Saccharomyces cerevisiae S288C: one gene and its partners. Changing the gene in region 1 together with any one later gene gives a genetic interaction. Each region holds a gene or a part of one and is shown in the gene's direction. Other genes may lie near its edges.

The links.
Region 2: mutations in INP53 (region 1) and AUR1 together harm fitness more than expected from each alone (negative genetic interaction), as found in Saccharomyces cerevisiae (2 studies listed by BioGRID).
Region 3: of INP53 (region 1) and SCS2, extra expression of one rescues a mutant of the other (dosage rescue), as found in Saccharomyces cerevisiae (2 studies listed by BioGRID).
Region 4: mutations in INP53 (region 1) and HOM3 together harm fitness more than expected from each alone (negative genetic interaction), as found in Saccharomyces cerevisiae (3 studies listed by BioGRID).

The regions. Positions count from the first base shown.
Region 1 is NC_001147.6:519,909-529,101, forward strand, and holds INP53 (phosphatidylinositol-3-/phosphoinositide 5-phosphatase INP53), read left to right. Parts: upstream 1-5,369; coding exon 5,370-8,693; downstream 8,694-9,193. Other genes in the region: SNAP receptor VAM3, read left to right, coding at 1-64; GTPase-activating protein RGS2, read left to right, coding at 1,445-2,374; 2-isopropylmalate synthase LEU9, read left to right, coding at 3,119-4,933; transcription factor TFIIIC subunit TFC7, read left to right, coding at 9,033-9,193. UniProt on the Saccharomyces cerevisiae protein: Dephosphorylates a number of phosphatidylinositols (PIs) like phosphatidylinositol 4,5-bisphosphate (PtdIns(4,5)P2), but also phosphatidylinositol 3-phosphate (PtdIns(3)P), phosphatidylinositol 4-phosphate (PtdIns(4)P), and phosphatidylinositol 3,5-bisphosphate (PtdIns(3,5)P2).
Region 2 is NC_001143.9:433,619-437,638, forward strand, and holds AUR1 (inositol phosphorylceramide synthase), read left to right. Parts: upstream 1-1,961; coding exon 1,962-3,167; downstream 3,168-4,020. Other genes in the region: BYE1 (Bye1p), read right to left, coding at 1-1,259; mitochondrial 37S ribosomal protein bS6m MRP17, read right to left, coding at 3,479-3,874. UniProt on the Saccharomyces cerevisiae protein: Catalytic component of the inositol phosphorylceramide synthase which catalyzes the addition of a phosphorylinositol group onto ceramide to form inositol phosphorylceramide, an essential step in sphingolipid biosynthesis.
Region 3 is NC_001137.3:398,470-405,626, forward strand, and holds SCS2 (phosphatidylinositol-binding protein SCS2), read left to right. Parts: upstream 1-2,665; coding exon 2,666-3,400; downstream 3,401-7,157. Other genes in the region: osmosensor SHO1, read right to left, coding at 1-586; AVT6 (aspartate/glutamate transporter), read right to left, coding at 1,027-2,373; YER121W (uncharacterized protein), read left to right, coding at 3,906-4,250; GLO3 (ADP-ribosylation factor GTPase-activating protein), read right to left, coding at 4,402-5,883; casein kinase YCK3, read left to right, coding at 6,344-7,157. UniProt on the Saccharomyces cerevisiae protein: Acts as an endoplasmic reticulum (ER) membrane anchor for cytoplasmic proteins via binding to the FFAT motif of targeted proteins. Regulates phospholipid biosynthesis by modulating the subcellular localization of the transcriptional repressor OPI1.
Region 4 is NC_001137.3:253,381-261,851, reverse strand, and holds HOM3 (aspartate kinase), read left to right. Parts: upstream 1-3,893; coding exon 3,894-5,477; downstream 5,478-8,471. Other genes in the region: YER053C-A (uncharacterized protein), read left to right, coding at 806-919; PIC2 (Cu/Pi carrier), read left to right, coding at 2,213-3,115; JHD1 ([Histone H3]-lysine-36 demethylase), read right to left, coding at 5,718-7,196; mitochondrial 37S ribosomal protein bS18m RSM18, read left to right, coding at 7,465-7,881; TPA1 (oxidative DNA demethylase), read right to left, coding at 8,190-8,471. UniProt on the Saccharomyces cerevisiae protein: Phosphorylates aspartate, the first step in the biosynthesis of amino acids that derive from aspartate (the aspartate family of amino acids), including methioinine and threonine, the latter of which is a precursor to isoleucine.

The DNA.
Region 1 (9,193 bases):
TAAGGTCACCCTAATCATTATAATAGTTGTGTGCATGGTGGTATTGCTTGCTGTATTAAGTTAGTAATCTCCTTAAACGCGCATTGAGCACAGACTTTCTGGTAGACCCAATCTTATCTATTTACGAAAACAAGAGTGTATAAGAGTGTATAAGTTATTTTTTGCATTTATTCTTTTGTGGTAGGGGGGTTTCTTAGCCGCTCTTTTTGACTCAAAATTTCCTTTGATGTCTAGTGATAGTGCACTTCCCATGTGCGCAACCTGTGTTTTTTGTACTCCGTAGTTTAAATGCAAGGGCTCGATATGCCCTTTTTCCTTTTTCTACTTTGTACGATCTACACTGACCTTTTTTCAGTAGTCCGTAAATCCCCACGAATTTCTACTAGCGACTGCCAATAAAAAAAGGATTGTGCTACTGTATGTAAAAAGTAAGAACCCTGTTATTTTCCGTTAACTGTCATTTGCCTTACTGTTGCTTAACGGCCGCCAACCGTTATCAAGAAACAAAACATTGTATGCGTTGTCTTCTAAATGAACCTTGTGGGCCCTGATAAACATAAGAACGTGTCTGGCTCGGAAGTATTTATCTTATTTCAATTTTCGCTTTTGCAGAACATCCTTGCCTGTCACTAAGATAAGGACAGAGCGTGGATTAATAAAAATGGCAGAATTTCTCGGCAAAAAAAGAAATCATGCATAATTACCTCGATGTGTACGTTATTGCGGGCACGATCCTGTCGCTACGGCCTGATAGTAGCGGCTATTCTGCTGGCGAAAATTTTCAGCAGTTTGAAATCTTACTGTGGCGTCCCGGTCCAGCCGAGATGACATCTAACTAAGAAATGTCCGCTGCGGCACACCCACGCCGTTGCAGCTAAAGTCGCGCACCAAGCACAGACCTGCTGGAGAATGAGGAACAAGGTTGCGTTAAATGCTTCGGGAAGAACTGCCGAACCGAACCGCTAGAAAAGTGCGCAGGTACCCCGATCGAAGCGGCTCGGCGCTCATTTTAGCACAATCAGAAAAAGGAAATTGAAAGAAGAAAAAAAAAACATAATCATTAACAATTCTTTTCTTGAGATATACGTATATATGACGTCGTCATGTAGTATCTCTTTCGGGATACCCTTTGTAAACGTCCCTTTGTGGAGATGAAAAAAAAACTTGCTGAATAAAGATAGTTAAGGCGCTAGTAATCAAATTAATAACATATTATACCACATCACATCTATACCATTTCCGTTGCACATTGCTTGAACCAGTTGCCAAAATTGACTAAACGGATTTTTACAAAGTCAACGGTGATCACTAAAAGCAAACAACTCAAGCGACGAGGCAAGGAAAGAGAAGAAAAAAAAAATATTACATTGGCTATATAAATATCAAAACATCTTAGGTAAGGCACCTTTGATACATAAAACGAAGAAAATTCAGCACATGCCAGATGGCGAGTGTACCAAGTCTATGCGACATACTGATACCGCTAGAAAAGAATAGTCGCAGCGACGGCGATGCTGAAAGTAGCAATACAGTGCTGATTCAACTGCGAAAAGGGCATCACGAACGGATGCGTTCTCCTTACACAATACAAAAGTTTTACAAATTTCTAAAAAGAGCTCATTGTGAGGAAAATTTAGAATTTTTCGAAAAAGCTCATCAGTTCCTCCAGCTTAAGCAAAACAGGAGTATTAGCGAGGAGAAGCTCTTGGAAGTTTGGAACAAGTCGTTGTACATAAAATACATTGCCGTGGACTCCCCCAAAGAATGCAACTTTTCACAGGATACTAGGGAGATATTTGAGAAGTGCTTTGCTAACAATGAAGTACCTGCCGACGTAGACGTCCTGTGTGCCATTAGCCATGTGATGGGCCTATTAATGGACGGGTATCACCGATTTGTGAGTTCTGTTAATGAGAAAAAGTACTCCGCCACATATGCCCACAATGACTCTGCTACGGAACAAGATCTCAAAAACGAGTCTACAACTTCTTTTTCGTCATTAGGCGTGGAGGATATTTCTGAAGATAGAAATTCGTATCTTAAGAAGCCTGATATCAATGGTTTGTCAACTATCATTCAAGAAACGTCTGCAAACACGACCAATGAGTCGCAATGCAGCGATCGCACTTCTCGGCCAAGCGAGTCCTCTTCCTCACTCAACACTACCAGCTCGACCTACAAGAATACCAGCACTAGAAATCTGCAAAAACCGCAAAATACAGGAATTCTCAACTCGGGGAAAGGTTTATTGCAAAAACTTAACTTTGTTAAAAAACGGAAATCTTTCAAACAGCCTTCAGGCGTCATTTGTAGCCATTATAACAGCAATGTTCAAAACCGTTTGAAAGGACAAAACAGTCATCAACAAAGATAGCCTCTTCATCATCTGTGGAGACACAAATATCTTCATCCTCATCGCCATTACCCAATAAAGCGATCGGTAAAAATGAAAAAAGCGTTGAAAACGGCTTTAAAAAGCTAAATTTGCATGATATCAGTTAATCAAGATTAGAACTTTGATTAAGTAGAACAACGATAGAAAATCCGCTTTTCTGGCTAGTTCCCTCGTTTCATATTAATTCATTTCACACAATTTACTTCATTTCATCACGCTCATATTGTTTGTAACTTTAGTTTTTATTTAATTTTACGTACATGACACTGCATATAATTATTTCACAGGCATTTAAAATAAGAGCATTGGGCACAGTCTTCTTTTATATGTTGTCATATTCAAACACTAAACATTTATCTGTATAGTAATTAATGTTAGCTCTTCCTTCTGCATGGCGCTTGTTATATACTTCATTCGTCTATTTTGGTGCCGCGCGCCATCATGGTCCGGTAACGGTCGTAGTGAATGACTCATATTTTTCCATCTCTTTCGGCCTTGCCAAAAAATGAAAAAAAAAAAAAAAAAAAAAAAAAAAATTAAAAACGATGTCCAGAATCACAACTACAACATAGTTTTGCCTCTTACTGGCTTGATTGGAAGTTAGCTGTTAAATTTCAATAATGCCTTACTTTACTCCACGAAATCACAATCCTTGTTTTCGGCTTATAAGGGTCTTCTCCTTAGGATAATACTATCGGCACATTATCATTTAGCCGCGTAGCCATGGTAAAACATTCGTTCATAGCGCTAGCTGAGCATGCTAGTAAACTAAGAAGGTCTATCCCACCCGTCAAACTGACTTATAAAAATATGCTACGGGACCCATCGGTAAAATATAGGGCGTTTGCTCCACCAAAAATGGTCAAGAGGATTTGGCCTGACAAAACTATTCAAAAGGCTCCACGTTGGCTGTCTACTGACTTGAGGGACGGTAATCAATCTTTACCGGACCCAATGTCTGTGGCTCAAAAGAAAGAATATTTCCACAAGTTGATCAACATCGGTTTCAAAGAAATCGAAGTGTCTTTCCCCTCTGCATCTCAAACAGATTTCGACTTCACCAGGTATGCTGTAGAAAACGCTCCAGATGATGTTGGTATTCAATGTCTTGTCCAATCTAGAGAACACTTGATTAAAAGAACCGTGGAAGCATTGACTGGTGCTAAAAGGGCTACCATACATACTTACTTGGCCACAAGTGACATGTTCCGAGAAATTGTCTTCAATATGTCTAGAGAGGAAGCTATTTCTAAAGCTGTAGAAGCCACCAAACTGGTTAGGAAACTAACCAAGGATGACCCTTCCCAGCAAGCTACTCGTTGGTCCTATGAGTTTTCTCCCGAATGTTTCAGTGATACGCCAGGTGAATTTGCTGTAGAAATTTGTGAAGCTGTTAAAAAGGCTTGGGAACCTACCGAGGAAAATCCGATCATTTTCAACTTACCAGCTACTGTAGAAGTTGCCTCTCCAAATGTTTACGCTGATCAAATTGAGTACTTCTCTACCCACATTACTGAGCGTGAGAAGGTCTGTATTTCTACGCATTGTCACAATGACCGTGGTTGCGGTGTCGCCGCCACAGAATTAGGTATGCTTGCAGGCGCTGATCGTGTAGAAGGTTGTCTATTTGGTAATGGTGAACGTACAGGTAATGTTGATTTGGTTACAGTTGCCATGAATATGTATACCCAAGGTGTTTCTCCTAATTTAGATTTCTCAGATTTAACTTCAATTTCTGAAATTGTCCATCGCTGTAACAAGATTCCAATTCCCCCAAGAGCCCCATATGGCGGTGAATTGGTTGTTTCTGCCTTTTCTGGTTCTCATCAGGATGCAATTAAGAAGGGATTTGCAATCCAAAACAAGAAACAGGCTCAAGGAGAAACTCGGTGGAGAATTCCATACTTACCATTGGATCCAAAGGATATTGGACGTGATTACGAAGCCGTCATCAGAGTCAACTCTCAATCCGGTAAGGGTGGTGCTGCTTGGGTTATTATGAGATCTCTAGGATTAGATGTACCAAGACCAATGCAAGTTGATTTCTCCAATACTCTACAGAAAAATGCAGATGCCTTAGGAAGAGAGTTAAAATCCGAAGAGATTACAAAATTGTTCAAAGAAACTTACAACTACAACAACAATGAACATATATACGTCACCTTGTTGAATTACGAAGTTAAGAAATTGAACCCAGAGCGTAGAGCTTTAGTGGGCCAGGTAGAAATCAACGATAAGGTTGTCAACATCGAAGGCTACGGAAATGGTCCTATCTCTTCTTTGGTGGATGCGCTATCCAATTTACTGAATGTTAAGTTGAGCGTTCAAAACTACTCTGAACATTCCTTGGGTTCTGGTTCTGCAACCCAAGCGGCATCTTTCATAAATCTTTCCTACATAAAGGACATCAATAATCATGCTACTAGTAATATGTGGGGTGTTGGTGTCTCCGAAGACACTGGGGATGCATCTATTAAGGCGGTATTTGCTACTGTCAATAATATTATTCATTCCGGGGATGTTCTACTGGCAGAGTAATAGAAAGGAGTAGCTTATGATTACTCATGTTATATATATATGTATTTTTATTTATAAATGGCACAGAAAAGTAACTTATTTCACGTTAAAAAGACATCTTTCAGCGAAGTTTCCAAACACTTCTTCGATGTCTGTGTGGAAAGTTTCTTTCGTTTATAGTTTTATTATTTTTTTTTGCTTTTTTTCCCATGGTACCATTTCCTTTCGTGAAACATTTTACCCAGGCCCACCCACCGCATAATCTTAACTGAATCCGAATAGGGATTTTTCGAGCACTACTGCAACTGTTGAGTGAGCTAGGAGTAGTGTAATTTGAGACTTTGTGAAGGGAGAACAGTCAATATCCAATATCATATTAAGAAAGCTAGCAGTACCTTAAGAGGAAGAAAGAAAATAACTGGGGCGAAGAATATCTAGTTATCCACTCCTTCATAGAATGATTATCTTTGTTTCAGAAGAACCTGAAAGGAGGCTAGCCATTGTATCCAACTTGTATGCTCTTGTTCTTAAACCGGTTGGGAAAAAGCCATCTGATAAACCCCTTTGTGCCATTGAACTTCTTCAAAAAAATGATTTGAAAAAATATGGCTTCAAAAGACTTACATCACACGAAATTTTTGGTGTTATCGGACTCATTGAGGTTAATGGCCTGCTGTTTGTTGGTGCCATCACTGGGAAATCAAAAGTTGCACAGCCATGCCCAGGAGAGACTGTGAACAAAATTTTTGCTGTCGATTTTTTTTGTTTAAATGACAACAGTTGGGATTTTATTGAAATCGACTCCTCAGGTTATCCTGTGTTGCCGGAGACTGCTTCAACTGAATATCAAGACGCCTTGCCAAAACATCCATGCTATGAATTGAAGAAACTATTATCCAATGGATCTTTTTATTATAGTTCAGATTTTGATTTGACCTCAACCTTACAGCATCGTGGATATGGTCAGCATTCTTTGAGTACAGATACCTACGAAGAAGAATATATGTGGAACTCTTTTCTCATGCAAGAAATGATCACATACAGAGATCATTTGGACACAAATTTGAAACAAATCTTGGATGACGAGGGGTTTTTAACAACAGTTATCCGTGGATTTGCGGAAACTTTCGTCTCGTACGTTAAGAAGTTGAAAGTTGCTCTTACTATCATCTCGAAACAGAGCTGGAAAAGAGCAGGAACAAGATTTAATGCACGTGGTGTGGATGATGAGGCAAACGTTGCCAATTTCGTAGAAACGGAATTCATTATGTATTCTAGCCAATACTGTTATGCTTTTACACAGATTAGAGGCAGTATACCTGTATTCTGGGAGCAAGGTACCTCTTTAATCAATCCAAGAGTACAAATTACAAGATCATTTGAAGCCACCCAACCGGTATTTGACAAACATATCATGAAATCAGTGGAAAAGTACGGACCTGTGCATGTCGTTAATTTGTTATCAACGAAATCTTCTGAAATTGAACTTTCAAAACGATACAAGGAGCATTTAACTCATTCAAAAAAATTGAACTTCAACAAAGATATATTTTTGACAGAATTCGATTTTCATAAAGAAACTTCGCAAGAAGGCTTTTCCGGTGTCAGAAAACTCATTCCATTAATATTGGACTCTCTTTTATCTTCTGGCTATTATTCTTACGATGTTAGAGAAAAAAAGAACATATCTGAACAACATGGCATATTTAGGACCAACTGTTTAGATTGTTTGGATAGAACAAATTTAGCTCAGCAAATTATTTCTTTGGCTGCTTTTAGAACTTTTCTCGAAGATTTCCGATTGATTAGTTCAAATTCGTTCATCGACGATGATGATTTCGTTTCTAAACATAACACCCTGTGGGCTGATCACGGTGATCAAATTTCCCAAATATATACTGGTACTAATGCTTTGAAGTCCTCATTTTCAAGAAAAGGTAAAATGTCACTTGCTGGGGCATTATCAGACGCCACAAAATCGGTCAGCAGAATATATATTAACAATTTCATGGATAAAGAAAAGCAACAAAATATCGATACTTTGTTGGGAAGGTTACCGTATCAGAAAGCAGTGCAACTTTATGATCCCGTAAACGAATACGTAAGTACGAAATTACAAAGCATGTCTGATAAGTTCACATCAACCTCCAACATTAACTTGTTAATAGGATCATTCAATGTTAATGGCGCAACCAAAAAAGTTGATTTATCAAAGTGGTTATTTCCAATCGGTGAAAAATTTAAACCCGATATTGTTGTTTTAGGTCTTCAAGAAGTTATAGAACTATCTGCGGGTTCGATTTTGAACGCTGATTACTCGAAAAGCTCTTTCTGGGAAAACTTAGTGGGTGATTGCTTAAACCAGTATGATGATAAATATCTGTTGTTAAGAGTAGAGCAAATGACTTCTTTACTAATTTTATTTTTTGTTAAAGCAGACAAAGCTAAATACGTCAAACAAGTGGAGGGTGCTACTAAAAAAACTGGCTTTAGGGGTATGGCTGGGAATAAAGGTGCAGTGTCTATAAGATTTGAGTACGGTGCCACTTCATTTTGTTTTGTCAATTCTCATCTCGCAGCAGGAGCTACGAATGTCGAAGAACGTCGAAGTGATTACGAGAGCATAGTTAGAGGTATTACTTTCACTAGAACTAAGATGATTCCTCATCACGATTCGATTTTCTGGTTAGGTGACATGAATTATAGAATAAATCTACCGAACGAAGACGTCAGAAGAGAGTTGCTCAACCAAGAAGAAGGATATATCGATAAACTGTTGCATTTTGATCAACTTACCCTAGGTATTAATTCTGGCAGTGTATTTGAAGGCTTCAAAGAACCAACTCTCAAGTTCCGTCCAACATACAAGTATGATCCCGGGACAGGAACTTATGATTCTTCTGAAAAGGAAAGGACGCCGTCATGGACAGATAGAATTATTTATAAAGGGGAAAACTTACTTCCTTTATCTTATTCAGATGCTCCGATAATGATTAGCGACCATCGGCCAGTTTACGCAGCATATAGAGCAAAAATAACTTTTGTTGATGATAAAGAGAGACTATCTCTCAAGAAACGTTTATTCACAGAATACAAACAAGAGCATCCCGAAGAACCGGGTTCTCTGATATCGGATCTTCTCAGCCTTGATCTGGATAATAAGAGCACTGATGGATTCAAAAGCTCTTCTGAAAGTTCTCTACTTGATATTGATCCGATAATGGCACAACCGACAGCGTCCAGCGTTGCTTCTTCGTCACCTGTGTCTTCAGCATCGGCTTCACTACAACCTGTCAGAACTCAAAACAGTAGCCAGTCGCGTACCCCCATAAAGAAACCGGTATTGCGCCCCCCACCCCCACCTGCTCATAAATCTGTATCAGCACCTGCTCCTTCAACATCGAAGGAAAAATCACCAACACCACAGACCTCAACTGCATCGTTGTCATCTGTGACTAAAAATATACAGGAAAATAAACCATTGGCGCAAAATAGACGAATTCCACCACCAGGTTTTAGTCAAAATATATTAACTCCAAAAAGTACCAGTAACTTGGCTTCGCCTATGTCTTCTAAGGTTGATTTATATAATAGCGCGAGTGAATCTACACGTTCAGCCCAAGATGCAAGACAACAGACACCTACAGCATTTGCAGCATCAAGAGACGTCAATGGGCAGCCCGAAGCTTTGCTAGGTGATGAAAATCCAATTGAGCCAGAGGAAAAGGCCAAACTAAACCATATGACTTTAGACTCATGGCAGCCATTGACCCCAAAATGAGAATATGTTATCTTTGAAGTGTGGTTGTTGTTCCGTTTGTATCCCTTTAAATGAACGAAGAGAAACAAGGGGGCTAACCTGGCCAGGTTGTTTTATGTGATTTTATTTAGATAAATATTTATATAAATATTCAGTGAGAGAAAAGGAGTGCGTTAATAAGGCGCGCCGGGTTTAAAGCTGAAAAATAGGACACATTAATATATATACGTTAAATATTGGTGAATACTTATGGGCAAGGTGGAAGAGAATCTCTACTATCCATAAATCCTCAGTAGGCTTTCCCCTAATTACCTTCATTTTTCTACCTCAATAACATATTACTCCTTTTCAATACATTTTATGGTGGTGAACACGATATATATCGCAAGGCATGGATACAGATCCAACTGGCTTCCGGAGGGTCCATATCCTGACCCACTTACAGGAATTGATAGCGATGTTCCTTTAGCAGAACACGGAGTCCAGCAAGCCAAAGAGTTGGCCCATTACCTTTTGTCCTT
Region 2 (4,020 bases), on another chromosome or scaffold:
GCATGAGTCTGTTCTATTTTACTCTTATCGCTGTCGATACTGTCAATGTTGTGTAATCTTATGCTGTCTTTTGAGTACAAAATATCCTCTTGAGGTTCAGCGATATCTTCGATCAGCTCATCACCCTTGTGGGTCTTAACGTACATGGGTTTGTCAGGTACCTCCACGATAAAATTTTCTAAGATAATCTTATCCCTTTTCTCTTTAAATTCTTGTAAGTCAGGATTTGCGAGTTCAGATGCGTTCATGTTCACCAGTTTATTTAAAGGCAATTTGCCCTCGACAACGTGTGCCTTCAGTTCCAAATTTTTTTTATCCTTTAAATTAGAGTATAACGACCTCACTTTCTCTGTGTATATCTTGTCCAAAGTACCAAACTCGACGTTAAGGCAAGCTTTGTAAAGTTCTTCTTCCAGATTGTGCGCAAACTCTTGCGATATCGATATAACGTCTTTCCCATCAGGAAGCTCATAAAGTTTTGCCTCAATTGTTTCGGGAACGATGAATTTGCTAAATAAGGTAGAGAACATTTTTTCTGCATTATACCTCAGTTTGTGTTCTTTTTCGCTTTCAAAATCTTTCCTAGTAGGCATTTCGTTTTCGGCAGTATCAGACTTGGCGGCATCAATGCTTTTATTCCTTTTTTTTGACCCATTGGATTTCTTCACCTGTTTGGATTTGATATGAATTCCTTTGGCACTATCGGGGCTCCTTTTTCGTTTCCTAGGGCTTTCCTCATCAAGAAAGACATCTGCATCATTGTCATCATGGTCATTTACGGGCTTGTAAACATCATCATGGTAATCTTCATCCTCTGAAACCTCTGCCTCCTTTGACGTTTCCAAATGTGCATACAATGATGGGTCGCACAATTCACAGTAGTACTTAGAATCTTCACTCATTAGCCCATCTATGGTGTCTTTACCATCAGTCATACATTTAATATGCTGCCAAGTGTCACAGCCATCGCACTGTACCATGTCGCCATGCGAATATTCTGCAGCATCGTAGTTTTCATTGTTCGCCCCACACAGACATCTAACATAGCCCTCATCCGCTTCGTCTACTTCGTCTGTTCTTACATTTTCAGTATCTTTCCTTGGCTCCTGAGAAGAATCAGACTTCTTATTCTTCTCTATGGCTGAATCAACTTTCTTTTTAGTTCTTTTTTTCTTTGGTGCTTCAGTCTCCTCCTGTAACAAATACTCAATATATTTATTCTGACCCTTATTAGATCTTGAAGAAGTACGGACAGACATAATAAATTTAAACTAAATAAAAGCTAAAAGTAAAAGAGAACCTAGGATAATCGATAGCTCCCTGTGTATAGAACAAGTCAAAATACTAAGATCTCGTCAACCTATCCTCTTTCATTGCAAGCCTTTTGGCCAAACTGCAGTCTGGGCATCCCTTTGCATGTCTTGTGAAATAGTATCCATCTCTCCCCAGCTCCCAGAAATGATATGAAAAGTTATTCGTGAAGAGTGATCCTAAAACTGAAAAAAGGAAAAAACAAAAATGAGCTAAAAAAACCACAACAAAAGAATATCAACTTCATTGCTTGGCGGGTCATCGCTTTTTTATTTCTTTCTGTCAAAGAATAATAAAGTGCCCATCAGTGTTCATATTTGTTACAAAGTGGTTTTCTGATTTGGTACTACTGCAGAGGCGTATTTTTTGCTTCAGTTACCATAGCGTAAGAACACTAGCGACTTTTGTTCGTGAACCAACAGAGTAGGATTTCTACTGCTACATCTCTTAGGTAGTTGGTTAGTCCGATCGCTCACTTTTGGTTGTTGTTAAGTACTTCATAAGTTTATCCTTTTCCTTTTTCACACTGAGCTACTTTGGGTATAGCTTTTGGCCCAAGGATCTTTGAATTTTCTCCAAAAGTACTTTATTTTATATCCTACAGGTTGCGGTTTTCATATTTTAAAAAGCTTTTAATCATTCCTTTGCGTATGGCAAACCCTTTTTCGAGATGGTTTCTATCAGAGAGACCTCCAAACTGCCATGTAGCCGATTTAGAAACAAGTTTAGATCCCCATCAAACGTTGTTGAAGGTGCAAAAATACAAACCCGCTTTAAGCGACTGGGTGCATTACATCTTCTTGGGATCCATCATGCTGTTTGTGTTCATTACTAATCCCGCACCTTGGATCTTCAAGATCCTTTTTTATTGTTTCTTGGGCACTTTATTCATCATTCCAGCTACGTCACAGTTTTTCTTCAATGCCTTGCCCATCCTAACATGGGTGGCGCTGTATTTCACTTCATCGTACTTTCCAGATGACCGCAGGCCTCCTATTACTGTCAAAGTGTTACCAGCGGTGGAAACAATTTTATACGGCGACAATTTAAGTGATATTCTTGCAACATCGACGAATTCCTTTTTGGACATTTTAGCATGGTTACCGTACGGACTATTTCATTTTGGGGCCCCATTTGTCGTTGCTGCCATCTTATTCGTATTTGGTCCACCAACTGTTTTGCAAGGTTATGCTTTTGCATTTGGTTATATGAACCTGTTTGGTGTTATCATGCAAAATGTCTTTCCAGCCGCTCCCCCATGGTATAAAATTCTCTATGGATTGCAATCAGCCAACTATGATATGCATGGCTCGCCTGGTGGATTAGCTAGAATTGATAAGCTACTCGGTATTAATATGTATACTACAGCTTTTTCAAATTCCTCCGTCATTTTCGGTGCTTTTCCTTCACTGCATTCCGGGTGTGCTACTATGGAAGCCCTGTTTTTCTGTTATTGTTTTCCAAAATTGAAGCCCTTGTTTATTGCTTATGTTTGCTGGTTATGGTGGTCAACTATGTATCTGACACACCATTATTTTGTAGACCTTATGGCAGGTTCTGTGCTGTCATACGTTATTTTCCAGTACACAAAGTACACACATTTACCAATTGTAGATACATCTCTTTTTTGCAGATGGTCATACACTTCAATTGAGAAATACGATATATCAAAGAGTGATCCATTGGCTGCAGATTCAAACGATATCGAAAGTGTCCCTTTGTCCAACTTGGAACTTGACTTTGATCTTAATATGACTGATGAACCCAGTGTAAGCCCTTCGTTATTTGATGGATCTACTTCTGTTTCTCGTTCGTCCGCCACGTCTATAACGTCACTAGGTGTAAAGAGGGCTTAATGAGTATTTTATCTGCAATTACGGATACGGTTGGTCTTATGTAGATACATATAAATATATATCTTTTTCTTTCTTTTTCTTAGTCAGGATTGTCGTTTAGCATAATATACATGTAGTTTATTTAATCACATACCACTGATTATCTTTAGAATTTTATAAATTTTTGAAATAAATGGGTGGCTTTTAATGGTGTCTATGTTAAGTGAGGCTTTTAGAATGCTCTTCCTGCTTTGTTTATTATATGTGTATGAAAGATATGTATGTATTTACATGTGTTTGTAGCGTCCCCAGTCAAAACCTGTGCGCTATACCTAAATGGATTGATAATCTTCATTCACTAATTCTAAAATAGACTTCTTCCCCAAAGAACGGTGTAACGATGAGGCTCTATCCAGCTGCTTATCTAAATCAACTTTAACGATGGATGATCTTATGACACGGGGATCTTTCTTTAAAGTTCTTAGAATTTCAGACTGTACCGCAGCTGATGAATCAAACAGCATTAAAAAGTGATATGCTCGAAAATGTTTTTCCTGGTCTTTCTTCATTATTTTAGGAAGATACCTTATGCCCATGGGTACAATGTCCCTCACCACACCTCTGTTTTGAATAATCAGTTTCCCGATTGTGGAAGACAATTCTTTTGCTTCCAACTTTGGCGCATTGGAGTTGGTTATGCGAACAAGTCCGATCAGCTCATAAAGCATCTTAGTGAAAAGGGTGGTTTTGCGTTATTCTTTCCTCTGTTGAAGCTTTTCTATTTTGTTTAAGCTGAACTAGTGGGAGTTTCCATTAAAAGGCTAAAGTCTTGTTGAAACTTTTCCGGGTTAGATGATAACTGCGAAAAGATAGA
Region 3 (7,157 bases), on another chromosome or scaffold:
GTATAGCATCATTATAGACATTATTTTGGTAAGGCGTTGTGTTCCTATTGCCTCTTCGACGAGCTCTATGAAGAGAATTCTCTAATGGCGAAGGCCTGATACCCTTAATGGAAAACGAATCAATCCATCTATTGGTTGGGGAAGCATTATCACCGCCGTAGTACAGAATCCAGATTAAATTTATGATGGAAAGTAAGATGACACCTGCTGAAGCAGCAGCTTTCTTGGGACCATCCGCATACACTAAATTCGTTGCACTGTTTGTATTATACACAAATGCCACTGCAATAGATGTGGTGATGAAGATTCTGTAATGATCGACTAAATCAAAACAATAGAACAGCATTAAAGAACAAATAATTAGAAATTGGTATACTATACCCCACCAAGTAAAACGTGGGAAGGATTCATTGGTGGATGCAGATGAGATGGAGCCCCCGATGGCGATGACCCACGATACAATTGCCAAAGAAATTGATGATATAGCGAAAGGATCGGCATAAAATTTTTTCATTTTAAAAGAATGGTCGGTAGCCATACGTGAAGGTTTACGAGGAGTTGGTCTTATCTTTGATGATATTGACATATTTTGAAAACGTGATTTTTGGTGTTTCTGAAAAGATGGCGTTGATCTATAATGTCCAATGTTGTTTTCAAATTATTGGGTTGGCTACTGTTAATAACACGCCCTTTCTTTTAGCGATTCTGTTGAGCAAAGAAAGCTGATATGATAGACAATGATACCTCACTGAAAACGAGGCTCAATGACTTTATTCGTGTTCCTGTGTTCTTTGCATATTTCAGCAATCGCTGAAATTTTTATAATACGTATGAAGCAAAAGCCCGACTCCGAAAGCTGTTGTGTGTAAATAGATTGAACGCGTTGGGAATGTAAAACGCGATTAAGAATTTCTGATTTAACGCAGGTGCTAGGTTATTAATAGTTTCTTACGCGGATATGTAGGTTCAAGGGTCTATGTACGTATGGAGGAATAGCAAAAAAAGAATGAGTATACTCTTGCTTATTTAGTTTAGCTTCAAAGCTGCGGTCAGGCAGGTGATCATGATTATTAGCCCCCAGATAAACAAGAGAAGACCTGTGTATTTGAAAATCTTTGTCGTCAATGGCACGGCTGTCTTGTGCTCAGTTCCTATAAGCTTGTAGCCAAAGAGCCCGGGCAGAATGAAAGAAATAGAAGTGGAGCCTGTGGCCCCAACAATGGCCAGTACACGGGCCAAGGAGGAAACCGAAATGGCGACAAGATATGATGCAACTAAAATGCTGCACGTTATAACAATAAAGCTCTTGCCTCTCAATGGAGTCTCCTTAGGCTGATAAATAGATTCTTCTTCAATTACCTCATTGAGGTCAAGGCTACTGTCGCGAATCAACGGAGAACTTTCGGTAGCAACAGTGGGTTCATCCGCCGATGTAGCACTTATACTTACATTTTCCTCGGCGAAGTGTTGCAAAATCTGATGGATTGAAGCTCTTGCAGGATGACACTGTAGTGGGAACGCCAGCATCACCAACAACACAATCGCTATTCTGCCGATGGTGCTCGAGACCGCTTGCGGGTACAGCATGATAATGTTTCCAATGATGTTGTCGCCGAATGTCAGGTATCCAGCACAGCCGATCGCAATATATAAGATGAGAGCCAAAGATATTGCTATCAGTGGAATCTTCATCACATGCTCGAACCGGCTTGACCTCTGCTCATTGATTATTGAAAACATATTGTGGTGACATGTGTAGGCAAAGACAAAAATTGGAAGAGTGTTTAGCACGTTCAAATCATGCGATTGTGGTGGCAGGAGGTAGGAGATCCGGCCTTTCAAGCGAAGAATCTCATCTGATGGTGCTACATAGTGCAACAACACCAAAACACACAAGTACGCTACAGAAGAGATGGCCACCATGGAAGCGTACCTCAACGAATTCAACTTCTTCAGAAAAGACAGCGGGGCCACGAAAAAAAGCATGATCAGTGAAATTTGCACGTTCCTGTTCAACAGCCAAGCATTTCTGGTCCACACAGACATTATTTGGGGCATCAGATCCCCAACTACAATCATATAAGAGACGCCCACACCAAAACACTTGATAGCGATCGCTAGGTCAAACACAATACCTAGATTTGGGTTAATCAACCGCGTCAGAGCACTGAACGAGGCCCTCCCCTGTGGTACGTATTTAGCTACACGAGCTTGTATGAACAAGCTTTGCATAGCGCACGCCCCACACAGCACTATCATTATCACTCCAGGAATTAATCCAAACGGCTTGAATGCGTACGGCATGGCCAGGATACCAGCACCGCACGCCGTGTGTAAAAGTGTCAGCACACCTGATCTAATACTAGCTACCATATGATGCACGATTCCTTTCTATGGTTATTGAGCTGTGAAACTAACCCGTCGTTCGACCATTGTTGTTCTATATACTTCTAGTTGCTGTATAGATAAGCTCTCCGATCCCCTAAACGTGCGTGGTGATCTTACTCTTTCGCCCTCGCTTTTTTTTTTTCGCTTGTTGTTTTCGCAAGGTGAATAGAATGGTTTTAGTAGCAAAGTGCATTGTTTATTGTGTGGTGTGGTTTGACGCACATTCTGTGTTAATAGTGTAGCAGAAGGGTATTCTACAATCTCCGCGAACCTAAGTATGTCTGCTGTTGAAATTTCCCCTGACGTGTTGGTGTATAAGTCTCCATTAACGGAGCAATCGACAGAATACGCTAGTATTTCCAACAATTCAGACCAAACCATTGCATTTAAGGTCAAGACCACAGCCCCAAAGTTTTACTGCGTGAGACCAAACGCCGCAGTTGTTGCTCCAGGTGAAACAATCCAGGTTCAAGTTATCTTCCTGGGTTTGACTGAAGAGCCTGCCGCAGACTTTAAGTGCCGTGACAAGTTCCTGGTTATCACGTTGCCTTCTCCTTACGACCTCAATGGCAAGGCTGTTGCAGATGTTTGGTCCGACTTGGAGGCTGAGTTCAAGCAACAGGCTATCTCTAAAAAGATAAAAGTCAAATATTTGATAAGTCCAGATGTACACCCAGCACAGAACCAAAATATACAGGAAAACAAGGAAACTGTTGAACCAGTAGTCCAAGACAGTGAGCCAAAGGAAGTGCCTGCTGTGGTAAACGAAAAGGAGGTCCCTGCTGAACCGGAAACTCAACCTCCCGTCCAAGTAAAGAAAGAAGAGGTCCCACCTGTCGTTCAGAAAACCGTTCCTCATGAAAATGAGAAGCAAACGTCCAACAGCACTCCGGCCCCACAGAACCAGATAAAGGAAGCCGCAACCGTACCTGCAGAAAATGAATCATCCAGCATGGGTATATTCATATTGGTTGCACTCCTTATCTTGGTTTTAGGATGGTTCTACAGATAATAGGGAGATTGAGGATATAGCTGTATTCTAAATATATATTTATATATGTGTGTGTTTTGCCCTTTCCTTCCTTTCAGTCTTTATTTTACTTTGTTTTTCTACAATCTTTTTTTATTGTTTCCTTCTGTAGCCTTTACAATACTAGAACAAGGAACTAAAAGATCATACTTTCCTAACTTTTTTATATGTTTTATTTTTTAAATAGGAGAATAATCGATAACTATACCACTGTTGTAACATATTACTTGTTTAATTTATTCATGTTCGGTTTCCCTAGTGTAGTAGGCGCTATCTTGGGCAAATAACTATCCGTTATTAACCATAACAATGCGGGGTCTACTAAATGAGGGGAGGGTCTTGGATGCACATTAACGAAGATCTTGCGAGGGGGTCGCGCCTAAAAGGTCCATAAATAAATGAATACATAAACAGCCACCTACTTTCAGTTTGTTTTTTGCTAGGTCTCATAGTGAACGAGGGACTCACATATTGACAATATAGTAACATGGGCTTATCGCGCTGGCACGACAAGAATTCAAGGCCAGCAGAGGAAAAGAGCGAAGAAATGCAACAGGATGCGCACTACTACGCCCTTGCGGCAAGTGATAGTTTAAATGCAAGTGTTTCTAACGAATATGGTAATCAAGTAATGAACTCGTTTTGGAAAGTGGGTATAGACTCTCCCTATGTGGACGATGAAGCAATTAGAAACAGAGATGTCGAAAATAACTTACCTTCTTTAAAGCAAAGTGTTTATAATGCTAATGAACCAAATGCTACCTCGTCTGCATTTTCAACCGCTTCATACGCACATGAAACTTTCGATTTTAGAAACCTTAAACTAAGATAAGGGGGGATGAAGAATAAGAATAAACGCACGTACAATGCATATACAACCGTTTCTATGTACCATAAATATAATTATCATATAATGAAAAATGAGAATAAAAAACAATGATAACAATGAAAAAAAAAAAATTCAATTAAAGAGAAAATTAAACTTATTTTCTTAAGTAGTCCCTTAAATAACTACCGAGTTTTTCAGCACCCTGTTCTACAACGTCTCTCAACATCTGCAATTCATCATCTGCGGAGGCATTAAAATCGATGAAACCGTTATTAGAATTACGGCCATCAAAATTCCCTGCTCCACTTCCACTACTATTGATGGGATTACCAAATTCATCCACTTCTTTATCTTCTCCAAAGTATGAAGAAGAGGAAATTGATGTAGCATTGTCAAATGTTTTCAACTTGTCATGCGCTTCCCTGTTTGCTGCTTCATCAAATGAGCCACGACCAAATAATTGATCAGATGATATAGCTTTTTGTGTGCCGTACCTTTCCGCGATTCTGCCCGTATATCTTGGTCCCTGAGCTATTTTCTGAGATTCTTTTTGTTGCTTTGCCAAATCATTGGCGTCATTCATGGTCATACCAAATCCCAATTTGGCAAACTTGGGTGTTAAAGTATCTTGCTGTTCTTTTCTAGTTGTGTCGAAGCTGTTTGAAGTGTCATTTAAAAAATCATTGAATTCATCAGGCTGGGTATTAATATCATCTATACTGTTATTATTGTTGCCTTTACTGTTATTCATAAATTGGGAATCGTAATCATTTTGTCTAATTTTGGTGCTAGAAGACGAATTAGTGAACTCGTCCTCCTTTTCTTGTTGAGCCTCTTTTTTAAATTGATCAAACAAGTCTTCTGCCTGTGATTTGTCGACTTTCTTTGCGGTTAGTCTAGTGGGCTTTCTTGACGAAGACAAAATTGAATGTTTCTTTTTATCTTGCGAGTTTAATACCGGTTTCTTTCTGCTAGCCGTTAAGATGGAACTTCTCGTTTTAGTGACAGTGGTCTTGGGTGTGCTGCCTGTGGTGTTGTTTTTTGGGGCGAGAGAGCCTGTATTTACATTGAGTTTAGAACTGGAATTGGAGCTTGGTTTTTGCCAATTAGAGAAAAAATCGTCAACACTATTTTCTTTGGAAGTCGACCTGGAAGCGTCTGAATCGGTGTCCAACGGTGAGTCCGAAGAATCTTGACCGTTCAAGACTAATTCTGATGGGTATAACTCCATATCCTTTTGAACCTTCTTGTCGAGATGTATCTTATATTTCTTAGCAACAGGGCTCGTATATTTTGTTTTCGCGTCAACATTTGCTGTATTTAGTAGCTGTTTCCCATTGTTCTTTAAGAAAAAATCACGAGCCTTATGGTTCCCACCCAACTTAAACCTTCTTAAATTGTTAATTGTCCATTTATCTAATGTAGAAGACTTTACAAAGGTGATATGAACACCCATGTTTCTATGCACAGCAGAGCATTGAATACACAGCATCACACCAAAAGGTACCGAAGTCCAAGTAGGATTCTTGTTACCACAATCAAAACAAACTCGATTTTCCATGTTGCTACCTAGCTTCTGAAAAACTTGTTGAGTAGTCTGTTCCGTGGCAAATGTTTCTCCTTCATCGTTACTCATTGTCGCTATGTGTATACTAAATTGCTCAAGAAGACCGGATCAACAAGTACTTAACAAATACCCTTTCTTTGCTATCGCCTTGATCTCCTTTTATAAAATGCCAGCTAAATCGTGTTTACGAAGAATAGTTGTTTTCTTTTTTTTTTTTTTTTTTCGAAACTTTACCGTGTCGTCGAAAATGACCAAACGATGTTACTTTTCCTTTTGTGTCATAGATAATACCAATATTGAAAGTAAAATTTTAAACATTCTATAGGTGAATTGAAAAGGGCAGCTTAGAGAGTAACAGGGGAACAGCATTCGTAACATCTAGGTACTGGTATTATTTGCTGTTTTTTAAAAAAGAAGGAAATCCGTTTTGCAAGAATTGTCTGCTATTTAAGGGTATACGTGCTACGGTCCACTAATCAAAAGTGGTATCTCATTCTGAAGAAAAAGTGTAAAAGGACGATAAGGAAAGATGTCCCAACGATCTTCACAACACATTGTAGGTATTCATTATGCTGTAGGACCTAAGATTGGCGAAGGGTCTTTCGGAGTAATATTTGAGGGAGAGAACATTCTTCATTCTTGTCAAGCGCAGACCGGTAGCAAGAGGGACTCTAGTATAATAATGGCGAACGAGCCAGTCGCAATTAAATTCGAACCGCGACATTCGGACGCACCCCAGTTGCGTGACGAATTTAGAGCCTATAGGATATTGAATGGCTGCGTTGGAATTCCCCATGCTTATTATTTTGGTCAAGAAGGTATGCACAACATCTTGATTATCGATTTACTAGGGCCATCATTGGAAGATCTCTTTGAGTGGTGTGGTAGAAAATTTTCAGTGAAAACAACCTGTATGGTTGCCAAGCAAATGATTGATAGAGTTAGAGCAATTCATGATCACGACTTAATCTATCGCGATATTAAACCCGATAACTTTTTAATTTCTCAATATCAAAGAATTTCACCTGAAGGAAAAGTCATTAAATCATGTGCCTCCTCTTCTAATAATGATCCCAATTTAATATACATGGTTGACTTTGGTATGGCAAAACAATATAGAGATCCAAGAACGAAACAACATATACCATACCGTGAACGAAAATCATTGAGCGGTACCGCCAGATATATGTCTATTAATACTCATTTTGGAAGAGAACAGTCACGTAGGGATGATTTAGAATCGCTAGGTCACGTTTTTTTTTATTTCTTGAGGGGATCCTTGCCATGGCAAGGTTTGAAAGCACCAAACAACAAACTGAAGTATGAAAAGATTGGTATGACTA
Region 4 (8,471 bases), on another chromosome or scaffold:
CTTCGATGTGTGTGGGCGTATATACAAATGTGCATTCGGCACGTAAAAGACTGGTAAAGGCTACCGTCCTTCAGTGAGCATTTTTTACATTCATTCAACGCTATACAGCTCTTACTGTGCGACGGAAACGCGACAAAATGTGAAGAGAAAACTAGGGGTTGCTATGACACGACCACGGAAGGCCTAAAAAGTTAAGTGACAGAAATCGTCATTGGTAAAAAAAACCCCGAACATGCCGATAAAGACTTGCTTATTCACCTACGATGACTTCAGAAGTGCGCCTATATTTCTTTACTTTTGAACACCCTTCCACCGCCCATTTAGAGAGAGCTATTTTTGTGCCTTCACTTCCGGCAGAGGTTATATTTTTTTTTTTTTTTTTTTTTTGCATACTACTCCTACTTCTTTCTACAGTCTCATCCCGACGCTTCAGTTTGAAATGTAAGGGACTGCGGCATTTGACTGAAAGAAGGGAGAATGGATGGTTTACTTTACTTTTTACGTAATGAAAAAAAAAATGATTGCTGTATTAGGACATCCCTGTTCTTTTATGTGGTAGCCTATATCCGATAACTGTTCAGCTATAAGACGTGAAGAGAGATTTTTTGGTACCCCTTATGCATTCAATTAAATAGAGAATTAGATATTTCTACCGATGTGCATTTTGTATATAAAGAAGTAGGAATCCCTTCTACAACGACAGAGGTAGACATACTGCTTGGAAACATTCTTTTCGTCCTTTTACAGAATTCTACATAGAAATAATAAAAACAAACAATAGCTTTACTACACAGTACACACTACAATGCAAGATTTAGAGATTTTTTTGAGTATTTTCGCTTTCATTTTCGTTTTCTACTTTGGTGCTCATAGAACAGTCATGAACAGAAACAAGAGCGATGTTCCTTACTTGCAGTGATTTAAATCAGCTAATCTGCTTACTGCCGCCAAGAGAGGTATGCAAAGTCAGTTCTACCTAGTCTGGCTTAGCGTTTTACTATTTACGAAGTTGATGTTCTGTTTTCTAATTTATCTTTTTTCTACTCATTCATTTCCACACTACACTTAATATTTTTTCAATAATTTTCGATGTTTTTAATCCGGTTTTCTATTGATGAGCGCCTTCTTAGCTCATACTTAATACACGTTTTTTAAGATTTATACGTTTGACAGCTCACGCTGTTTGACCAAAGTTATTTTCATTTTTATGTTCGTAATTATGTATTTTTGCTATTGTATATGATATACGTCTATATTTAGGCAATTATAATATGATTATAATATAACTTACTACATCTCTAAAACATGCTGTCTAGCCCTTCCATCGCAAGACTCGGCTAGACATTCGAGGAAGGCACAAAAAGCCACCTATCCCCATCTCTCCAAAAAGCTTCATTTCGAAAATAAGAAGGGAAACATCCGAATAAGACTAAAACTTTGTTCCTTCAATGACTACTAAGTTATTAGATGTCAGAAATCCCGCAAAATCGCCCGCATATCAAGGTAAGCGGCAAAACCCTATTCTTGAAAAAATGTAAATACTAACCGTGTGAGAATTTTAACGGTGTATTCCAAAAAGTCAGCACGTGATCTGCTAAGAAATCCGAACCTCGGCCTTTGTTTTTTTTGTTACAGCATAGGGAAAAGACGCATTGTGTCAAAAAGGAACATCGTACCATTACCCTCTCAGCACATAGGTAATAAGGTGACAAGTAGCAAGTGAAAAGTACCGCTTACGAAGAATACTTTAATTCAACGTAGATACTGCAAAATATTCAAGTCATTATTTTTGGCCCTTAACTTGCCTTTCCAGTTCTTAGATTCATTCATATGCTAGCTAGCAACAACGGTCACTTTGGGTTGCATTTCACAATCTCATTCGGCTAAGATCTCGGCTAACCAAAAGTTGGACTTCAGGGGTATTAGCGAAATAAGGAGATCTTTTTTAGGTTTATTCCTTGTTTTTAGTTTCATTTTGCTTAATAAAAAGGAAAATGGATATATCGATTTTCTGCATACCCTGTTACATTTGATATAAATACAGCGGGACCTACCAAATATACTTTCATTTTGCTTGTGTTTTATAGATATTTTATTTTTTTTTCCAGGCAGTCAATGACACATTGTTAACTGAAAGTGTTCTGTTATTGTTTTAATTCTAAAAAAATAAAGTAAGGGAAAAAGAGAACGGACTCATTGACAGTTGTAAAGCATGGAGTCCAATAAACAACCACGTAAAATCCAATTATATACGAAAGAGTTTTATGCCACATGTACCTTAGGTGGTATAATTGCGTGCGGTCCAACACATTCTTCGATCACTCCACTAGATCTTGTCAAATGTAGGCTACAGGTCAATCCCAAGTTGTATACTTCAAACTTACAAGGGTTCCGTAAGATTATAGCTAATGAAGGCTGGAAGAAAGTATACACTGGGTTTGGTGCTACATTCGTCGGATATTCGCTACAAGGTGCAGGTAAGTATGGTGGTTATGAGTATTTCAAGCATTTGTATTCTAGTTGGTTAAGTCCTGGTGTCACTGTGTACTTGATGGCCTCAGCGACCGCTGAATTCCTCGCTGATATCATGTTGTGCCCATTTGAAGCTATTAAAGTGAAACAGCAGACTACTATGCCGCCCTTTTGCAATAACGTTGTTGATGGATGGAAAAAAATGTATGCAGAAAGTGGAGGTATGAAAGCATTTTATAAAGGTATTGTTCCCCTATGGTGCAGACAGATTCCTTACACAATGTGTAAGTTTACCTCATTCGAAAAAATTGTTCAAAAAATATACAGTGTTTTACCTAAAAAGAAAGAAGAAATGAACGCATTACAGCAAATATCAGTCAGTTTTGTAGGTGGTTATCTGGCAGGTATATTATGTGCTGCAGTCTCACATCCTGCAGACGTTATGGTTTCCAAGATCAATAGCGAAAGAAAGGCCAACGAGTCCATGTCTGTAGCCTCTAAAAGAATATATCAAAAAATTGGCTTTACTGGGTTGTGGAATGGGTTAATGGTGAGAATTGTCATGATCGGTACTTTGACAAGTTTCCAATGGCTAATTTACGATTCGTTCAAGGCTTATGTAGGCTTACCAACCACCGGTTAGCTGATCGATTCAATCGGCAAGGTTTATCGTAAACACTCTGTGCTAGAGGAATATTGTATACACAGGATTTCATAAAGTTAGTAAATGACCGGCATTTATAGTTTGTTCTTCTTTGCATATGTCTTAATAAATATTCGTCCTACAATTTCTTTTCATACTAAGAGTTTTGTTATGATTGCCAAATTTCTCAAGCCAAGAACAGGCCCAGGAAAACTTTGAAAGTGCCATATCAGAAACACATTTATAAGGTAGTTTCGATATACGGCAATACTCGATGCATGCCCAAACTTGCCAGCCGCTCGCGATTGAATCTTCTACAATTTTTAGGTGAACATATTCAGAGGCTGAGGCCTTATTTGATAGTAACATCAAATATCACTCCCACAATTTACAATCACTGTCATTGGTCTCACAGGATCCTTTTCTTTCTAGAACTCCCCTAATATCAACTTTTTACTCTACTGTGGCTCTAACCACGTGTATTTTTCAGGCCCATGACTCACCTTTTCTTTCTTTTTCACTAGCAAACGAAAATTTCATCATCACTTTTTTTTTTTTTCACTTTCCGTACGCAGTCTTCTCCAGAGATTCTTTTAGCTTCGAAGAAATAATGTATAATATCCATATATAAGAATACTGCTGGATAATTATTTTATTTCTATTTTAACAGTGCTCTACTCATTGAAGGATATTTGTGTAGCCAATACTCTCTCCATCGCTTAAGCTCACATAGCTATCGCATTTTATCACAGAAGCTTTCATTTTTTTTAACTTTTACATGCCAATGGATTTCCAACCTACATCAAGTCATTCGAACTGGGTCGTGCAAAAGTTCGGTGGTACATCTGTCGGTAAATTTCCCGTCCAAATAGTGGATGACATTGTGAAGCACTATTCTAAACCTGACGGCCCAAACAATAATGTCGCTGTCGTTTGTTCCGCCCGTTCTTCATACACCAAGGCTGAAGGTACCACTTCTCGTCTTTTGAAATGTTGTGATTTGGCTTCGCAAGAATCTGAATTTCAAGACATTATCGAAGTTATCAGACAAGACCATATCGATAATGCCGACCGCTTCATTCTCAATCCTGCCTTGCAAGCCAAGTTAGTGGATGATACCAATAAAGAACTTGAACTGGTCAAGAAATATTTAAATGCTTCAAAAGTTTTGGGTGAAGTGAGTTCACGTACAGTAGATCTGGTGATGTCATGTGGTGAGAAGTTGAGTTGTTTGTTCATGACTGCTTTATGTAATGACCGTGGCTGTAAGGCCAAATATGTGGATTTGAGCCACATTGTTCCCTCTGATTTCAGTGCCAGCGCTTTGGATAACAGTTTCTACACTTTCCTGGTTCAAGCATTGAAAGAAAAATTGGCCCCCTTTGTAAGTGCTAAAGAGCGTATCGTTCCAGTCTTTACAGGGTTTTTTGGTTTAGTTCCAACTGGTCTTCTGAATGGTGTTGGTCGTGGCTATACCGATTTATGTGCCGCTTTGATAGCAGTTGCTGTAAATGCTGATGAACTACAAGTTTGGAAGGAAGTTGATGGTATATTTACTGCTGATCCTCGTAAGGTTCCTGAAGCACGTTTGCTAGACAGTGTTACTCCAGAAGAAGCTTCTGAATTAACATATTATGGTTCCGAAGTTATACATCCTTTTACGATGGAACAAGTTATTAGGGCTAAGATTCCTATTAGAATCAAGAATGTTCAAAATCCATTAGGTAACGGTACCATTATCTACCCAGATAATGTAGCAAAGAAGGGTGAATCTACTCCACCACATCCTCCTGAGAACTTATCCTCATCTTTCTATGAAAAGAGAAAGAGAGGTGCCACTGCTATCACCACCAAAAATGACATTTTCGTCATCAACATTCATTCCAATAAGAAAACCCTATCCCATGGTTTCCTAGCTCAAATATTTACCATCCTGGATAAGTACAAGTTAGTCGTAGATTTAATATCTACTTCTGAAGTTCATGTTTCGATGGCTTTGCCCATTCCAGATGCAGACTCATTAAAATCTCTGAGACAAGCTGAGGAAAAATTGAGAATTTTAGGTTCTGTTGATATCACAAAGAAGTTGTCTATTGTTTCATTAGTTGGTAAACATATGAAACAATACATCGGCATTGCTGGTACCATGTTTACTACTCTTGCTGAAGAAGGCATCAACATTGAAATGATTTCTCAAGGGGCAAATGAAATAAACATATCCTGCGTTATCAATGAATCTGACTCCATAAAAGCGCTACAATGTATTCATGCCAAGTTACTAAGTGAGCGGACAAATACTTCAAACCAATTTGAACATGCCATTGATGAACGTTTAGAACAATTGAAAAGACTTGGAATTTAAATCCACCTTTCTTCTTCACTTTAATGATAGAATATTAATTTTCCCTTTATATATATATATATATATATATACGCGCACATATATTTACATATATATTAATGTTTTGTAACCTATATTGGGGCGATTATTCCCTAAATGTAATGTCAGGGTTATACTGTATCAATTGCTAAAGTAGATCTCATTCATCGAGAGCATAGGATGAAATAAAAGATACAAGAACGTGGCGGACAAGAAGAAATTTTACGAAATAAGATCGGCTAAAGCTTTCGCTAAATGCTTCTTTGAAGTGAAATTTAACGGCTTGTACTTAACTTCAGGTTTTATAACGTATGCATGAAGTGATTGAATTGCGCAATTAGTGGTCCTGGAAAGCAAATCCCCATCACTGACATCACTAGTGATTTTATTTTTATCAAGCGCAAGATACTCGCATAATTTACCCATCACTTGATCAAACTTCGGGAAGGTAAATCTTCTAGGAACCTTTGTTAACTTTTCAATTTCCACAATTTTAAGGTGTGTCTCCAAATCACGGATGGTTAAAAAGTTGCCTCCAAATACCAAAGAGTCTACTGGTGTATAAACTGCATGAATATATCCAGCTGGAATCATAAACAAATCACCAGCATCTAATTCCATCGCAATACCATCCTCAAGAATATCACCGAGGAAAACACTATTTTGGTCTTCTTTTAAAGACCACTCAATATACTTATCTATGTTTGATTGGGTAGGTGGAAATAATAAAAACTTCTTCTGTCCTGAGATAACGTTATAATAAACAGAGGTACCGGCAAAATCCAAATGAAAATCCGTATAAGCATCCTTTACAGACATCAAAATATATTTGGTCACTTTTGGCTTGGGGTCATTCTCCTCCGCCTTCTCCCCATTGACTTTTTCTAAATGTCCATTGAAACTCCAAATTTTATCAACAAGATCATTCTGCCTAACTGCAGTGGGCCTCTCTAGTTCTAATCCCTCAATATTAGAGACTTCTAATGATATAACATTCCTTATTCGATCCCTCCTGTCTGGTTCAGTATTTGTAAAATATTCATTCCAAGATCCCAAGTTCCAATTTTCATTCATTTGTGATTGAACGTCCATTACATCAACATGATAATCCTCGCCTATCATTTCGGTGATATAATTAACTGTGAGGCATCCATTGTCTGTGCCCACATTCGGTACATATACTCCGCTATTCAGTGGATCGATGATCTTGTACGGCACATCTATATTATCAAACTTTTCAGCAAAGTCAGCGGCGTTTATAATATTTGAGCCATTTTTCCATTTTTCAAAAGATTTCATGAAACTCTCCTTATGAGGGTGATTCATTTTATCCCTTTTCGATTCACCCTCATTCAAAGCGATATAGTCAAGTAATTTCTTCTTTCTGAAATTATACCGCTTATTTATATGACTATCTTCAGGGTTTTCTTTATTCCTTTGCCGCTTTCCTTTTTGTGTGATGAGAGCGTATGCGGTAAGATATTCTCCTTCCTTATGATTAGGACAACGGTAGCTCTTGATTTGCTTCGCAGAATTTGGATAAGACAGAACTTCAGAACTTGTAAGATTTGAATAGTGAATGCGTTTCAAAGGCACGCATTTCACGTGGACCCACTGCGGGCAACTATCACACTTCACCCAAATTAATGCGCCTGGATTATCCTTCAACTGGCAATGCTGGCAAATATTGGGATCTTGCATTGCACCATAGCTTATTAGTATTTTGTTTTATGATCATTACGTCTTCTTACTCATTATAATCACCCACTTCTATTAGATGTTCTATTATGCCTTTAAATTGCATTGTAGGGTAACCTGTTGGGGGAAAAAATATCTAGGATTACTTTACATACTTAAATATGAGTCCATTATTAACAGTGTTACAGTTCTAACCAAAAAGGCAAGGTTCTACACAAAACTTCGGATGTTCAAGATGAATGCCACCACAGGCATAAAAATTCAAAACGGTATGCAACCTATCATCAAGGGAGCAGTAAGCTCCACATTTAAACGTGCTCTATACAATTTCGGTATCAAAGAAAAGAAGAGTGTCAATATTGAAATGGGGAGAACGCAACAAACAAAGAAAATCGATCAGTCTTTGTCCAAAAAACTTCCCAAAGGTACTATCTACGATCCATTTGACTTCTCTATGGGACGAATCCATTTAGATAGAAAATATCAGGCAAACAAGAACTCAAACAGGAACGATATAATGAAGTCCGGTGCAAATCCACTAGAATTTTATGCAAGACCAAGAATACTTTCAAGATATGTGACCTCCACGGGAAGAATCCAACATAGGGATATCACAGGCTTATCGGCAAAGAATCAAAGAAGACTATCGAAAGCCATTAGACGGTGCCAGGCAATAGGATTAATGTGAACTGTACTACACTAATGCTTCTCCACATGAAATAATTAAGAAAATAAGGCATTTCATAGTTCTGTCTGTAAATATACAATATGTAAAAAGAATCGCAATTAGATCTTAAGTTAAACTTATATTCATTCTTATATTTCTTTAATATACCCGTTTTATTCGCTTACTCGAATTTGGATTATGGTAATGATATTCACGCCAGAGGAATAAGCTGAAATTGACGAATAACTTTTCAAATAATTTTATTACTTCTATTATACAACTTTATAAATATCTAAGCTGCCATTTACTTAATAAGACGGGTTAATTGTTTACGCTTCATCTTCCTGACCATCTTCATCACATGATTTGACATCCCACTTCATTTTGACATCCCATCTACTAGATTTAGCGCTCCAGCTGACGTACTTAACAAACTCCAAAACACTTTCATCTCTCAAGACCAAATTGAAAGTATTCCAAGCAGGTGGATCATTAATCAATACTGAATCACCACTGTCATCCGCACGATAAACAGAAGCGTCTTCAACGTCTTCCTTTAAGTATTGCTTATTATCTTCGTCGTCGTCCATCATGTACAATTCGTAACCACC